Notamacropus eugenii: one gene and its partner. Each later gene encodes a partner of the first gene's protein in a complex. Links are inferred from orthologs where the notes say so. Each region holds a gene or a part of one and is shown in the gene's direction. Other genes may lie near its edges.

Region 1 (7,567 bases):
TCATCTGAGGAGCAGATGATACTTGGTATACTAAAGTAACAGGTGGTGATGAGGTTGAAGATGTAAGAAGAGTAAATGATATAGATTTGAGCCAATATATCCCAAAGGATATGGATGAGACTGGTATTACTGTGGCCAGTCTTCCAGTACATATACTTCAGCAGAGAAGGATGATAATAAATTGAGTGAAATTTTAGGAAATGGGGCAAAATGGAAAACAAAGTGATTTGGAAGAAAATAATGAAGAACAGGACAATGGAGTTATTGGTGCTATTTCTATTGATGAAAACCTTTTTAATGGAGAGGATTTGGATGAACAGGAAGAGGAATTAAACACACTTGATTTAAAGGAATGACAACAAGCAAGTCAGATAAAAAAACTGTCGGCTCAACATAAATTGAAATTGACTACATTATTTGTTTTCTCCTTTCTAGAATTCTTAAATAGGACCTTTTTGGTTTCTCACACTGATTTTGGGAGGGTACCCTTTCCTCAAAAAAAGAAAAAAAAAGGAGTATTCATTTCTATCACCTCTATTCTGACCCTGACTACACCACATAGTAAGTTTAGAGCAGGTCATATAATACAATGAAATATGAAGGTCATTACAGAAAAGATTTTGTAAATAATTGAAACAGGAAGTATAACTGCTTTTTCCCAATTTTTGAGTTTCATTGGACGTGTTATTACCCAGTACAACAAACATTTTGAAAATATCACTCATTTAAGCTTCATCTTTTAATGAGTGATTTGATTTACTTTGTATTTATCTTTAAAAAGACTTCTTAAAATAAAAGCACTGTACTTCATAAATAGACTACTTATGCAGATTAAGTATTGTGTTTCTTTGAATACTTAATTAGATGGACATTAAAGATGCAGTTTCTTTAAACTAACAGCATCATCTGGAATGCCTTCTTTCCTGTTTTAAATTTTCCGTCTGCCTTTTTTATTTTGTTTGCTAACAAAGTTGTAAATAAAGATCATCAAGTGTTAAAACAAATAAACTACTGGAGTGATTAGCCATTTTCTTCTCCAGTGCTCCAATGCTCTGGCATTGATGCTGTATCTTTGACAAGGTATGAACTCTTTTTGTCCATGTTGACCCTATTTACACTGTATTAATGATTATTGATTGATGATTCACAGCTAGTTTTTATGCCCAACATACCCCTTGGGTTTGTCTCTTAAAAGACACTTGGAAAAGATGGGGACAACTATGGCAGAATGCAGCATATATTTTACTGTGTTGAGATGTTTTTGCTTAACTGTTCAATTCTAGGGTGGGGGATATATATCTTGCAATGACTTTGATTTAAAAACAAAAGGTATCCATGAAACTTTTTTTAAAAAAAGAATACCTCCCCCTTTAAAAAAAAAAGAATAAAAGGGTGCTACACAGAGACTCCAGAGACTAGAAACTGAGGTCACACAGACCAGTGAGGCAAAGAAGTACAGTAGAATCTTGGTTTACAAATTTAATTCATTTCCAGATTCTGTTCATCATGTGATTTGTTTGTATTGCAAAGTGAATTTTCCCATAGGAAATAATGTACAGTCATGTCCCGGCCTAATTGCTGTGGGCTGCCCGAGTCTTCTTACCTTAGTCCAGGTATTTGGTGGCTAGCTGGATAAACGTATCGAGAGAAGAGACTTTCCAGAGTCAAACAAGGATTAGGCTTTATTCAGGATCTTGGTTACATGTCCATATGCAGGCGAGTTCTTCCCCAGGAGAAAGGAACCCCCCTCTTCCTCAAGGAGCAAGGATCACACAGCGAGAGGACGGGGGTGGAAGAAGGGAGGGACCCCTGGGAGGGACCCCCCCTCAGGCTTTCCCCGTCCCCACTTAAGCTCTCCCAGCTGCATACTCCACACATGGATACCGTGCATGCTCTCAGCCCCTAGCTAATCAACAAAAAGGTGTGCTCAGACCATGGACCAATTTCAAGGGTGCGATGCTCTCCCCAGCAAGTTTCCACTGAGAAGAGGTGGAGAAACAAGAAAGCTCGAGTCTCACTCCTCAATTCCCAGCTGTTCCCTGGGGAGCCTCATGAGAGCTCGCAATCAAGAAGGCCTCATTTTTACCTGCCCAAAACCATTCACGTGAGAACTGAGCTTACACCCCAACACAGTCAGATGATCAGTACCACAGCCCCAAAAATAGTCATATAAAAATAACTATTTTTAATTTTAAGTAATTTTTTTTTGTCCCTAATGCTCCTGAACTACAACAGCAATGATTAGTACACAATATAAACTGAAAAGAAAACAAATTAGCCTGCACTTTATCTTGGAGAAGAGTTGTGGCTGTCGAGAGGGCCACGAGAGGGAGGAAGGATTATTGCTTGGAAGGAGAGACACTGAGGATTTCAACGTCCAAAGAGTTCTCTCTTATGCTACTTTCACTAAAAAGTAAGACTAACACTACTGCCTTCACTTATTTTTCATTTTTTAGAATCACTTTCATGTTTTGACTCACTGATTTTTTTTTACATTCACTTCTGACTAGGAATATATCTAGACAATTGTTTTTGACATCTTTTAAGTAATTTATTTATTTTCAGTTTTCAACAGTCACTTCCATAAGTTTTAAGTTTTCTTCCCCTCCCTCTCTCCTCCCTTCCCAAGAGGGCATGCAATCTTATATAGGAAAAAACCCTAGTTGAGTGTCATCCCTTCTGGAGTCGTTCAAGTCCAAGTATGATGTTCATTCATACTATGAATTTCTGTTCATCCTGCAAGACAAATTTTGCAAAAAATTTTTCCTCGTCCACTGAAGCATAAGTAAACTAGGTTACTAGTAAACTGAGATTCTACTGTATACAGATTCCTTTCCTGGGAGGAAGATCTGCAAAATCCATGTAGCCTCTCCAAGAAACCATGTGAGGCCTCCAGGAAACATTATGTTCACGCCTGATAAAGAGGACAAAGCAGTAGAATTCTTGGATCACACCTAGACCAGGGGTTCTTAATTTGGGATCCATAAATTTGTTTAAATTTTTTTTTTGGTAACTATACTTCATTATAATTTATTGTCTTTGTAATCCTATGTATTTCATTTTGTGCATTAAAAAATATTATTCTGAAGAGTCCACAGGCTTCACCAGATTGTCAGACACAAAATGACACACACGTAAAAAATCTGTGCAAAAAAGGTTAAGAATTGCTGGTCCAGATCAAGCAGAGGCATTCCTGAATAGGAGAATTCCTGGACCATGCCAATTTTCTGGATCAAGTAGAATTCCAGGATCACAGAGAAGTTCTTTGAACAAGCAGGAACCTCATCCCCGGATCAGCAAGGGATGGAGACACAGTGAAGGAGACACCTAGATCACCTTCTTCACTGGTAATGTGAGTTATGTGGACTGTGCAGGTCTTGTAGAAATATAGTAGCTTCCCCAACCTGCTAAATGAAGAAGCCCTAGGGAAGACTTGCAACTGTGACTGAACCCCCCTTTTGCTACTGATACGGAGTCAAAATATCAACTAAATACTAGTTCCCTAGGCATTCCCCCTCCCTTCCCTAGAAGGATCAGTACTTACACCCCAAGTCTGAGCTCCCTGCTTCCTTGTTTTTCTCCCTCAACTTGTAAAAGATTTTATTTTTTAAATTTATTTTTCGTTACATTTTAAGTTTCAAATTGTCTCCCTCCCCCCCCCCCCCACCTTGCACTAGAAGGCCACCATTTGACAAAGAAAAAATCTCTATCTCTATGTCTTTACATATACACACACATATGTAAAATTGTACTGTGTATACTTCTATTTATCAGTTCTTTCTATGGAGGTGGATAGCCTCTACCTCCATGGGTCCTTTGTAGTTGATTTGAAGATTTGTAATACTCAGAATGGATTAGTCTACTCATTCACAGTTATTCTTCAAACAATATTGCTGCTATTGTATACAGAGCTCTCCTGGTTCTGCTCATTTCACTTTTCATTATTTCATGCAAGTCTTTCCATGTTTTTCTAAAATGAACCTGCCATCACTTCTTACAGCACAGTAGTATTCCACAAGCTCCCTGCTTCTTGCCCCCAATGTCTGTTCCTATTTGACAGTGATGACAAACCTATAAAAACCCAGCCTGCTTCACCTGTATGGGCCACTTGACTCCCCCAGGACCCAAGGGCCTGTCCTGTGTTCATCTTCTCTCATGATCCCTTTGTTTTGTATTTCCCCTCATTTACTAAAATTTACTCTTTTTTTTTTTCACTTTCTTTCTATCCTCTCCTGTCTTGTGCTAAATTTTGTATGGTGCCACTGCACCTCCCAGCCTCTCCAGGTCTCTTCCCTAGAAGCTTCAGCTATCATACAGAATAGTCACACTTCAATCTTAAGTCTTTGACTTAAGGAATGTAGAACACGAGAGACTCGCCGGCATGAAGACTGTGACTAGGGGTCCCGAAGAGACTAGACTGCCTCTTGGGTTTTTCGCCTGGCAACTATGTAGCAGATAAAAGAGACTGTAGCGGTGTCTGTGCTGCTAGTGCTCCAGACCAAAGAAATCGCACATTAATAAGAGTTGTGAGGGACGGAGCACTCAGTCACTACAGGCTGTCTATGGTCGGTGGTAAATAGAGGTGGCTGGGTGGCGCCCGGGGCAGCGCTGTCCTGCCCTGGAAAAGTCACTTAACCTCTGCATAAAACCACCTACTTTCCAGGGCAAATTAAGTTAATATATAAAAGTCCTCTGCAAGCCTTAATCCGTTCCTATAAGGGGGCTAGGGCTTTGTACAGTAAAGAGTAATCACCCTAAAGCCCTAAGCAGCCTCGAACCCCGATCTCTGGCTCCTCAGAGAACCCCGCCCGCTTTCCTCCCCTTCCCCAAGCCCAGCCAATCCTGCACAATATTGCGGGGGAGGAGGTGAGGGGGAGAAGGAGGAACGAAAAGAACGAGCTTGCGCGGCCAATCGCCGGCCTGGGGAGAGGGGGCGTGGAAGTAACGCGGATAGGTTGAGTTTTGAGTGGCGTGTCGATTGCCCAATCAACGAGTGGTGTGAATGGGGGCCCAAGTCCCTACGGAAAGGAATGGTGGGGAGTAGGGAGGCCACGTCCCGGCACGTGATATAGGTGACAACCCGGAAGCGACCCCACTTTTTGCCAGCTTTCTCCGCACCTACGGCTTGAGATGGTGAGAAAGCGATGGCGCATGCGCATTGGTTTCCCCTTCCTTTTCTTCTCTCTTTCTCCCCTTCTCCCCCTCCCCCCAGTGCAGCGCCCCATGCCCCCCCAACCGCCCTTCAAAGAGGTGGCCCCGGGGTGTCGGGCTTGGGGGAAGCGGAGGCGGCGGAGGATGCAGGGGCCTGGGAGTGGAGGGTGGTCGGGTCTGGTACAGCTTCGGAGGGGAAGAAAAGGGGCCGGGGAGGGGTCCCCAGGAATGGGGGAGGACGGCGTGGGGAGGTGGTGTCTCCCCTGGGAGCGATGGGAAGTGGGCTGTGATTTTAAAGGGAGGAGGAGGCCGAGGCGGCCAAGGGCCCGTAGGGATTCCAGGCTGTCCAGGGTTTCCTAGAACAGAAGCTCTTTGAGGACAGGACTTGAGACTTTGTCTTTTCAGTTCCTGGCACATAATCACCGCCTAATGAATAAATACTCGTTGGTTTGGAGACTGGGGAAGGGAGAGGGGGAAAGAAATCCCTTTATATTTCATGTGGATAGTTCTGTCCCTCCTCCTTCTCACCCTCTCCTGACTGCCTCTCCCTCCCCTCCAAGAAAGCTTCTTGAGGATGCAATATGTTTCCGTTTTGTCTTTGCTAGTAATGTGTCTAGCAGTCAATTTATCAACAAACATTAAGTAATTAAGGGCCTGCTTTTCCCCAGCTGCTGGGGATAGAAAAAGGAAACAGACCCTGCGCTCAAGGGACAGACTTTCTTTTGGGGAGGATAAAGTGACACATACATAGTAAATTAAATGTAGAATATAAGGAATTTCTAAAAGGGAAGGCCCTAGCCACTGGGGCAAACAGCATAGGTTTCTTGTAGGAGGTAGCGCTGGAATCGAGTTGTGAACAAAGCTGGTGTTCTATTAGGAGAGAGTTGTCAGAGGAGGCAGTGTTGTGCAGTGTGATGAATGCTGGACCTGGAGTCAAGACCTCCATTCAGTTACCCACATCTCCCAGGTTTCTTTCCATACCTTGGCTCAGTCTTTCTGGGCTTCATTTTCATAATTTGTAAAATGAGGGGGTTGCAAAATAAAGTGTCCAGCTCTAAATAGATGACCCTATGACCCCATGACTGCATTCTAAATAAAAGCCCTCAGACTTAGTTGAAAAGGTAAATGATGTGCAGTAATCTCAGAAAAGTAGGCTGGAGCCAGATTGTACAACTTTAAAGAACTAAGGGAGGAGTTTGCATTTTACTTCAGAGGGAAAAGGAAGCTGTTGGAGCTTCTGAGCAGAAGAGGGATGAGGTCAGATCTGTGCCATAGGACCATCAATTTGGCAACTTTATAGAAGATACATTGGAGAGGAGAGCCTTGAAGCAAGGAGATTAGAAAACTTAACTCATATAAGTGAATTAAATAAACTTTTGTTGTGGTTGAATTAGCACATCAAGGAGAGCGAAAGATTTGAGGTTGTGAGTTGAAAAGAAGGAACAGGAATCTGAGCATTTAGAACATGAAGGAAGGAAATAAGGCACTTGGGCACTGAGTAGAAAGAAAGTGTTGGGTATCACAGCATGGTGAAAAGCCAGCTGAACTGAAAATCAGGAGAGACTTCAAATTCCATCTCTGTCACTGTGAGCGGACCCTTAACTTTTCTTGATTCTGTTTTCTTATGTTTAAAATGGACATAGTAATTAACCTGTGGTAATTACTCTCTACAGGGTTGTTGTGAGGATCAAAGGTGCTTGCAGAACCCTACATAAATGTCAGCAATTATTGTTTGTCCTAGTCTAAAGTCTTGGCAAGATGGGGAGATGTGTAAGGAAAATAAGAGGTGTAGCATCAGCAGCAGGAGGAATAGAGGTTTGCAAGTAAACAGGAAAGATCTCAGTCTAGCTCTCTTTCCTCTGATTTTTCCCATCTCATAATTTACTGTGCTTCTTCTAGACATCTGCATTGACTCAGGGGCTGGAGCGTATCCCTGACCAGCTGGGCTACTTGGTACTGAGTGAAGGAGCCGTGCTGGCGGTAAGTCTTGGGGTGAAAAGTAGAAAGAAGATGACCTGATCCTTGATAGCTCCTTCGTGATTTATGACCTTTCCATTTATCTCTTCTTTCCTACAGCTTCTCCTAATTTGAAATATGTGCTGTAGTTTTATCCATAAAGCATAAATCCGTATCCTTAAGCTCCCATGGATTTAACTATTGTTTCTGTGCAGATGACTCCCAAATCTATTCATCTGTCTTGTATGCGTCTCCCATCACTAACTTCCTGTTAGAAATTCCCCCCTGCATAGTCTGTAGGAATCTCAAGCTCAGCAAGTCCAAAAAAAACTCATTATCTTTTGCCCTAAAATCTACAACTCTTCCTACTTCTCTGTCTCTGCCAAGGGAACTATTATTCTTCCATTTATCCCAGGTTCAGGACTTAGGAGACATCAGTGGATCTTTACTCACTCTCACC
Region 2 (8,054 bases), on another chromosome or scaffold:
GCACTGGGGGCTGAGATTCAGATGAACTGCTCCAAACCCTGAGGGACTTTAGGCCGGGGGTGGGGGGGGGGGTGGGGGGGAGGGGTGGGGGTGGGGGGGTGGGGGGGGTGGGGGATGGAGGGGGGGGTGCCTAAAGATTGAGATCAGCTGTGTGAGATTAAGATGACCTGCTCAGGTGGGGGCAGGCCCACCATACAGGGCTCAGTTCCCTCAGGGGGTTTATGATGAGACCTTCAACAATGGGTTCAGGCTACTGCCTGCTTTGGGAGCCTTGTCCGCTGCTGCCTCTACTGCTGCCTCCTGAGGAGGCCCGAGTTATGGGGACACCCTGCTCCCTTCTTGGCCAGCAGAAAAGATGCACTCACTGACCTTTGGAGCCTGTGTGTTGAGGGATCTGTGCTGCCACTGAAGATTCTGTCCCTGAAGCCTGCTTGGATCTGCTCCTCTTGGTGCCCACGTGGCCAAGGCTGGGCTGGGCTCTGCTCTGCATCCTGTGTGCGACAGACCTTTCCCATTGATCTTTCAGGTCACTCTGGGATAGAAATCTCCTCCACTCCATTGTTCTGTGGCTTCTGCTGCTCTAGAATTTGTTGAGAGTTCTTCTTTACAGGTATTTTATGGGCTGTGTGGTAAGAGCTAGCATATGTGTGTCTTTCTACTCCACCATCTTGGCTCTGCCCCCCAAACTTACTATTTATTGAGAAGAAAACAGGAGTGGTAGAGGACATTTCAGGTATGTGGGATAATACTTGTCAAGTAAGAGAGAAGCTGTTAAAACTTCAAAACTTAAGCCATAAAGAAAATCTGAATGCAATCCACAAATCAGTTGCATAATAGGTCAAAGCAAAGAAACAGTATTATTGCAGTGGTAAGAGCACTTGGTTTGGAGTCACAGTCCTGGTTTTGCCACTTCTTACATGACCTCTGACAAGTCACAACCCGTCTGGACCTCAGTTTCCTCATCTACAAAATGAGATTGATTCAGATGATCTGTAAGATTCCTTCCAATTCTGAATCCATCAATCTTTTGATCCTGCAAGATAAAAACAAAGATGAGAAATGAATGTTCCTGATCTTCATCGAACTTACAGTCGAAAATGGAGATTAAACATTTGCAAGTTAGAAAATGACAGTGCACTGGGAAAGTCAAAGATGTGACCCGAGAGAATCAAGGAAGGAGAGAGGCCTACTAAGGGAAGGAATCATGGAGGATGTCCTAATATGTCACCTTAGGATTTTAAGAAGATTGGTGGAGAATCACCACCAGAATGTGGTGGTACGGAGAAAGCATTGAATTTGGAGTCAGAGATAGAAATTGTACTGGCTATTCCTTACCTAGGTGACAGTAGGCATTTCCGACCGTGGTACCTTGGGAAAAGTGATGTATTTTAAGTCTGAGAAGCAGGCTTAGAATCTCAGTGCTGTCACTTAATGCTTGTATGACCTTTTGTGTAGCAAAGCACTGTTTGAAATCAAAGGGCAATAATTAGCAATAGGTATTAATAAGACTTTTTGTAGAGAGTGGTCCTTGACTTGGGTGTTAAAGGATGAAGAGGTAATCAATAGTCACAGTGTACAGGCAAAGTCAAAAACTGTCTGAGAGATTCAAGGAGGGAAGGGGCCTTCCAAGAGAGGCCAGAAAGGAAGGGACCATGGTGGATACCTATTATGTCAACTCAACTCAGTGGTTAGAGAGAGCACTGTAACTTCCTTAGTTCTCAGTTTCTAGCGATAAGGTGAGGGTTGGACTATATGGTCTGTAAGGAAGGTCTCTTCTGTCTCTAAGCCTATGGTTTATCATTTCTGCACAGCTCCTGAACAAGATTTTCAGCTACCTAGAGGGAATGTTTACCTACTTGTCCCACCAATATCCCAAACTCAGCATGTCCACAAGTTCTGGTTCCTACTAAGACTGTGTATGACCTTCTGTACCTCCCTTGACATAAGGCAAGAAAGTAAAGATTGGGATCAAACTGTACAGTTGGTGTTATTATGGACATGTTTGAGCAGAAAAATGACCTAGGCATCGGATGATAGATGGTGTGGAGCTGGGGGAGAATGGAAACGGAAATTAATTAGGAGTCTAAAAGATCCAGAAACTCAAAACCTGAATTATTCTCTACAGTATAGCAGAAAGAAATGTACTTACTCTGCCACTAATCCCTCCTACAGAAAGGCTATTACTGATACCCTCTTCTTGAAGAAGTATCTTGGGTTCCACAGGTTCAAGGTCTTTTCCTTTGAAAACAAGCAAAGCAAAACACAGCAAGCCTTTGTGAAGCATAAAATCCAATTCAAACTGCTTTAATAATTGAAAAGTAAAAGCACATAATAGGTGAGTAAGAAGGGTATCAGAGACAACTCTCCTGAAGACACTAAATCAGGAAATGAAAAAAGCCACCAACAGGCAGTCTGACCTCCAGAAAAGCATTAATGACAACCTTCCCTTCTTTCCCCTCCCAGTGTGTAAAACACCTCCAAGGTGGGGCAGGAAAGAGGACCAGCTGTGGCTACAATAGGAATCCATCCAAGCTCTTATTACATACTTTCAAAATATATTTTAAGTCTATTTTTATCTCTACCTTTTGTCTCCCTCACAGAACATAAGGCCCTTGAAGTCAGGCAGTTTCCTTTATTTTTCTTTTAAATATGTGAAGCCCAAGCATCTACTTAAAAGTACCAAAATAGATTCACCTTATCAGCTGACTGCTTGATCATGTGACCTTGGACAAGTCACTGAACCTCTCTGGGCCTCACTTTTGGCATTTATACAAGAAGAGGGCTGGGCTCCATGGCCCTACAGTTCCTTTTAGCTCTAGTCTAGGCTTCTTAATCTGAAGTACCTGAATTAAAAAAAAATGTTCCCGAAAACTCACTTTCAACATTTAATTCAACAAACATTTATCAAGCACAAAATTATGTGCCAAGCACTGGAGACACAAAAAGAAGCAGAAGACAATATCTGCCCTCAAGGAGTTTATAATCTAATGGAGGAGACAGTATGCAAACAAATACAGAGCAACCTATATGATTTAATTCCATGAACATTTATTAATTACCTGTCATGTGCCAGGAATACTGCGAAGCACTGGGGATACAAAAAGGGGCAAAAGACCGTCCCTATCCTCAAGAAACACAATCAAATGGAGATACCACTCAAATATATATGTATATACACACATATATGCATATTTGCACATATACTTGCACACATATATACACATAAATACATGCATGTATGCACACCACACATTTGTGCACATACACGCACACACAAACACAGGTATGTATACACAGTGTGCACATACTTGCATACATGCACACATATAAACATGTGTGCACGCATACATTTGCACAATGAATATATACACATAAACACATGCATGTGTATACACACGTGCACAGATACATATACATGCATGCACACACGAACACATATGTACACACTAGACACATGTGCATGCATATAAGCATGTATATACACACATACATTTACATAATGCATATATACCATACATATAAACGCACATGCACATACACATACATATTTGCACACATACATATACGCATGCATACAAACACATGTATGCATATACATACACACATACATATATTTGCACAATACATATATACACACATATATGCATATATACATATAGATTTGCACACACATGCACAAACACATGTATGTATACACACTATATACACATATGCGTGCATATAAACATGTATGTGTGCGAGCACACATATATGCACAGTACATATATACACACATATAAACACATGTATGCATATACACTATATGCACACATATTTGCACAATATATGCATGCACATAAACACACATGTATATACATACATATACTTACACAATACCTATACACACATACATATAAACACACGTATATACACACATACATATATACACATACTTATAAACACATGTGTATATGTATATACACATGCACATATGTGCACACATGCATATATACACACCTGCATATATATATACATACACACATTATACATATATGTATACATCAGCCTCCATGCAGGATAAGAAATGAAAGAGGGAAAGCTTTCCCTAGTCATCTCATGAATATTTTATGCATTAAAAACATGACTCTGACAGGGGTCCAAGGCTTTCCCAGATGGTACATGATGGAAAAAAAAAAGTGAAGGTCGAGGATGCTTCCAATTGGACATCTAAGGCGTGGTTTTCCTGACGCGCCCCTTGGCATCCAGCCAGAGGGACTGCAACATTTTAGCAAACTCCTTCAATGTCCCTCCCTGGATGAGTAGGAAAGAGACAGGCGCATGCGCCGCATTCTGCTGAGAGGTGGGAAGAGTAGGGAGAAAGGACGAAGGGGGCGCATGCGCAGAACTCCGGGGCGGGCTGAGGAGCGCAAGGGGCGGGTCTGGCGCATGCGCAGGACTCCGCGGGTGGAGGAGGGGAAGAAGAAGGGGGCAGGCCTTTTTTCGTGGCAGGTCCCCGCGGGCAGCGGGGCCAAGGAAGCCGCTTCCGGTGTCCTTACCCCTTTCCCCGGAAGCAGTGTGTCACGGGGCCAGGGCTCCGACCGAGCTTCCTGAGAGAGCGATAATCATGTGACCGCGGGTTCCAGAGGAAGCGGCTGAGGCGGTCGGAGCTACCTGCGGCGGCCCCGGCAGCCTGAGCCAGGTAGGCCTCGCGGCCTGACGGCGGGGAGGGGCGGCCGCTCTGGGATGGGGGCGGGGAGGCGATCCCGGGCCCGCCCCGCTTCACTGGGTGTTTCTCTTTCAGGTGCGGGGAGCGTCCCGGCGGGAGGAAGGGGCTCATCATGGCGGATGTGAGTGAGACCACCCCCCCCCAGCTGGGGGAGGGCCGCGCGGGGGAGGGAGGCGGGGGACGGAGCCTGGGAGGGGTGACCTCCCCGCCGCAGGGACGCCCGGGGCCTCCGCCCTGCGGGCCGTGGGGCACGTCCCCTTCCCCTGGGATGGTGCCCCTGAGCCGGGCCCATAGTCGGTGCTCCATAAGTGCCCAGGTGCGTACAGCAGGCGCTTTACAAAGGTCCGTTCCTGTCCCCGGCCCGGGGCTCCCGGCGCCCCCGCACCCCCGCACCCCGCCGTGCCTTGGCGCAGCTCAGATCCTCTTTAACCGCAGGAAGCCCCCGCCGCCCGACAGCACCGGGCAGTGACTTATGTAGCCCGGTGGTCGGTCCGACAGGCGCCGGGGACAGAAAAAGAAGGCGTGTGTCCTGTTGGATTGGAGCCGGAGTGGTCGCCGTAGGGTCCCTTGGAGCTGGGCAGGGTCAGATGAGGCCATGCGAAGGTGTGCTGGACTTGGGGCCGGGGCAGGGAGGTGGCGTGGAGCCAGGCAGACTCACCTAGCCGAGCTCCAGTCCAGCCTCAGGTGCTTGTGGGCCGGGGGACCCCGGACAAGGCACTTCACCCTGTCCGCCTCAGTTTCCTCGTCTGGAACATGAGCTGGAGAAGGAAATGGGAAGCCACCCCACTATCCCTGCCAAGAAAACCCAAACAGGGTCATGGAGAGTCAGAGGGCACTGAACACCAGCACACCTTGGGCCTGGCCTTGGCTGGCTCTGAGTCAGCAAGTTTCTTAACTTCTTTATATTTCAGTTTCATCAAAAAAATGGCAGTGATAATAACTTCCAACACATAGGAGAGCTTTCTTGAGATTTGACCTGGAAGGTCCCTCCATCATGAATGATTTGTATACATGTAAACTATTGGTTTTTCCCTCTGGGTGGATATGATTGTAAACTTGAAGGTCAGGACCTTGTATTTCCCACAGCACTCTGCTTTTATGAGGTGTTTTATGATGAGGGATAGCAGCTTTAGGACAAAGCTGGTGAACTGGGTTCAGGAATTGTTGAGGCTTGTGGGAAGGATAAGAATAGGTTTGAACTAGGAATTGTTCAGGCCTGTGGGAAGTTCAAGAATGGGGTTTGAATTGAAACTTGCTTTAGGAAATTTAGGGACTCTGGTGAGGGAAGTTATGAAATACCATTCACTCAGATTTGAGGAACTCCCTAAGTGTTTGAAACTGTATTTTCCCCTTGTGACATCTTGTTACAACGTGACTTTATATCTCCTTTTCTAGGATTTGAAGAGATTCCTCTACAAAAAGTTACCAAGGTAAAGGATCAGTAGTGTCACCCTGAATTCTGAATCATAAAGTCTCACTTTGTTGCCACCTTAAAATAAAAACACCGCAACATTCGTTTCACTTTTAGATTCACTCTAAGGTAAAGCTTTTATACTGTGCTTGGAAAGGAAATGAAATTGACACACAGAAAAGACAGGAAAAGTATGATTCTGCTTGCAGATGTGCATGTTTTTCATTCTCATCATGGCCTTTGCTTCATATTTATGACATTTTTTTGTGCCATGCCAGCTTATTTCTCTTGTGGTGTTAGATGTAGTATTTATCAACTGAGCCTTTCTGCTTTTGCTAGGGAAGTTCGTCTGAGGTGTTCTACTAATGAGAAAGATTTGGATTTCTTTTATACTTTAAATTCAAATACAGTTTACCTATGCGCACATTTTTAAAAATAGGAAATAGAGACTGGAGCTGTTATGTGACATAGGAATTCCCAGACAAGGAAGCTCCCTTTACTAATGCAACTTCAGAAAGTTCCTGAGAGTTAGGACTGAGCTATCTGGTAACTAGATCTGTCTAGCTGTCTATCAGATCTACTGGATCCTGAGAGATAGGGAAGGAGAAAATGCCATGAGACATCACTTAACCCATTATGTGAAAATATTACATATAATTAAATTCTGACTTTATTCTTATACCACACATCATGGAAAAATTCTCTGGGTTGAAAAAACTTAAATGGTCAAAGGGGTCACAAGGGAATATCATAGTACCGCTTGATGGTGCAGTGGTCTGGGCTCAGGAATACTCATCTTCCTGAATTCAAATCCTGCCTCAGACATGTACAAGCTGTGTGATCCTGGTCAAGTCACTCACCCTGTTTGCCTCAGTTTCCTCATCTGTAAGATGAGCTGGAAAAGGAAATGACAAACCATCCAGTGTCTCTGCCAAGAAAACCCCAAATGGGGTCACAAAGGGTTGGGCAGGACCAAATAGCAGCAATGGAAATATCAGCATTTCTTCTAGGAAACAAACTGGCTGAGTCATCAATAAGGAGACTACGTTTTCTGCCTTCTGCCCTGTGCAATTTTGTCTAAGCCTCTTGCTCATATAGAAAACAGTAGTGCTCATTAACTGAGTTCTGTCCACTGTGTATGGATATAAAGGTAGAAGCTTCTAAGTTGCTTATTGTTACTGGACTGTAGTTAAGGGTTTTCTGTTGAAACATCTTTAATTAAAATCTTTCTAAAGACCTGATTTCCTATATATATATGTGTGTATATATATATATATATATATATATATATATATATATATATATATATATATATATATATATATATACATATATATGTATATATATATATATGTATGTATATTTATATGTGTGTACATATGTATACACATATATACACATGTGTGTGTGTGAGAGACTAAAATTTCTAAACATATCTCAGCTTCAGTTTCTTAAATTGTAAAAATGGGATAATAATAGCGCACACACATATTCCCTTCTGGCCCCCTTCCCCCTGGAGATATTTGCAAAACAGCACCAGAGTGCCTAACAGTAGGTCAGTTAAATAAATGTGTTTGTTCCCTCCTCTGTTAACCTTTAGGTATGGCATGTACATCAAATTGTAGTCATAGTGGTGATGATTTTATGCCTTAGCCTTCCTTGTGACTGGTCTAATTTAAGACTATTTTAATGCAACAGATCATAGTTGTGACAACAGGGTCACTTGAAAGCTAAACCTTGGACATGATAAAATTAACATTGAGTTAACAAGGCACAAACATCACCAGGGTGTTGAAATTTGAATTGTTTATACAATTTCAAAATGTAAATAACTGGTGGTTTCCAAATTATAAAATTTTCTTAAGCAATTGATCACTAGCTTAGGTTTTATTATAAATCTGTCAAATGTGGTCTTCTCTAGTTTGGAGTGGGAAGCTG

Evidence for each region.
Region 2: LAMTOR4 (region 1) and LAMTOR3 share a complex: the UniProt entries of both Homo sapiens proteins name them as parts of the ragulator complex. The link is inferred for Notamacropus eugenii from reciprocal best matches to the Homo sapiens genes LAMTOR4 and LAMTOR3.

What each region holds. Positions count from the first base shown.
Region 1 is NC_092873.1:80,612,514-80,620,080, reverse strand, and holds the start of LAMTOR4 (ragulator complex protein LAMTOR4), read left to right. Parts: upstream 1-4,562; 5' UTR 4,563-5,130; coding exon 5,131-5,133; intron 5,134-7,050; coding exon 7,051-7,131; intron 7,132-7,567. UniProt on the Homo sapiens protein: As part of the Ragulator complex it is involved in amino acid sensing and activation of mTORC1, a signaling complex promoting cell growth in response to growth factors, energy levels, and amino acids.
Region 2 is NC_092878.1:137,825,680-137,833,733, reverse strand, and holds the start of LAMTOR3 (ragulator complex protein LAMTOR3), read left to right. Parts: upstream 1-4,879; 5' UTR 4,880-4,973; coding exon 4,974-5,021; intron 5,022-6,100; coding exon 6,101-6,135; intron 6,136-8,054. UniProt on the Homo sapiens protein: As part of the Ragulator complex it is involved in amino acid sensing and activation of mTORC1, a signaling complex promoting cell growth in response to growth factors, energy levels, and amino acids.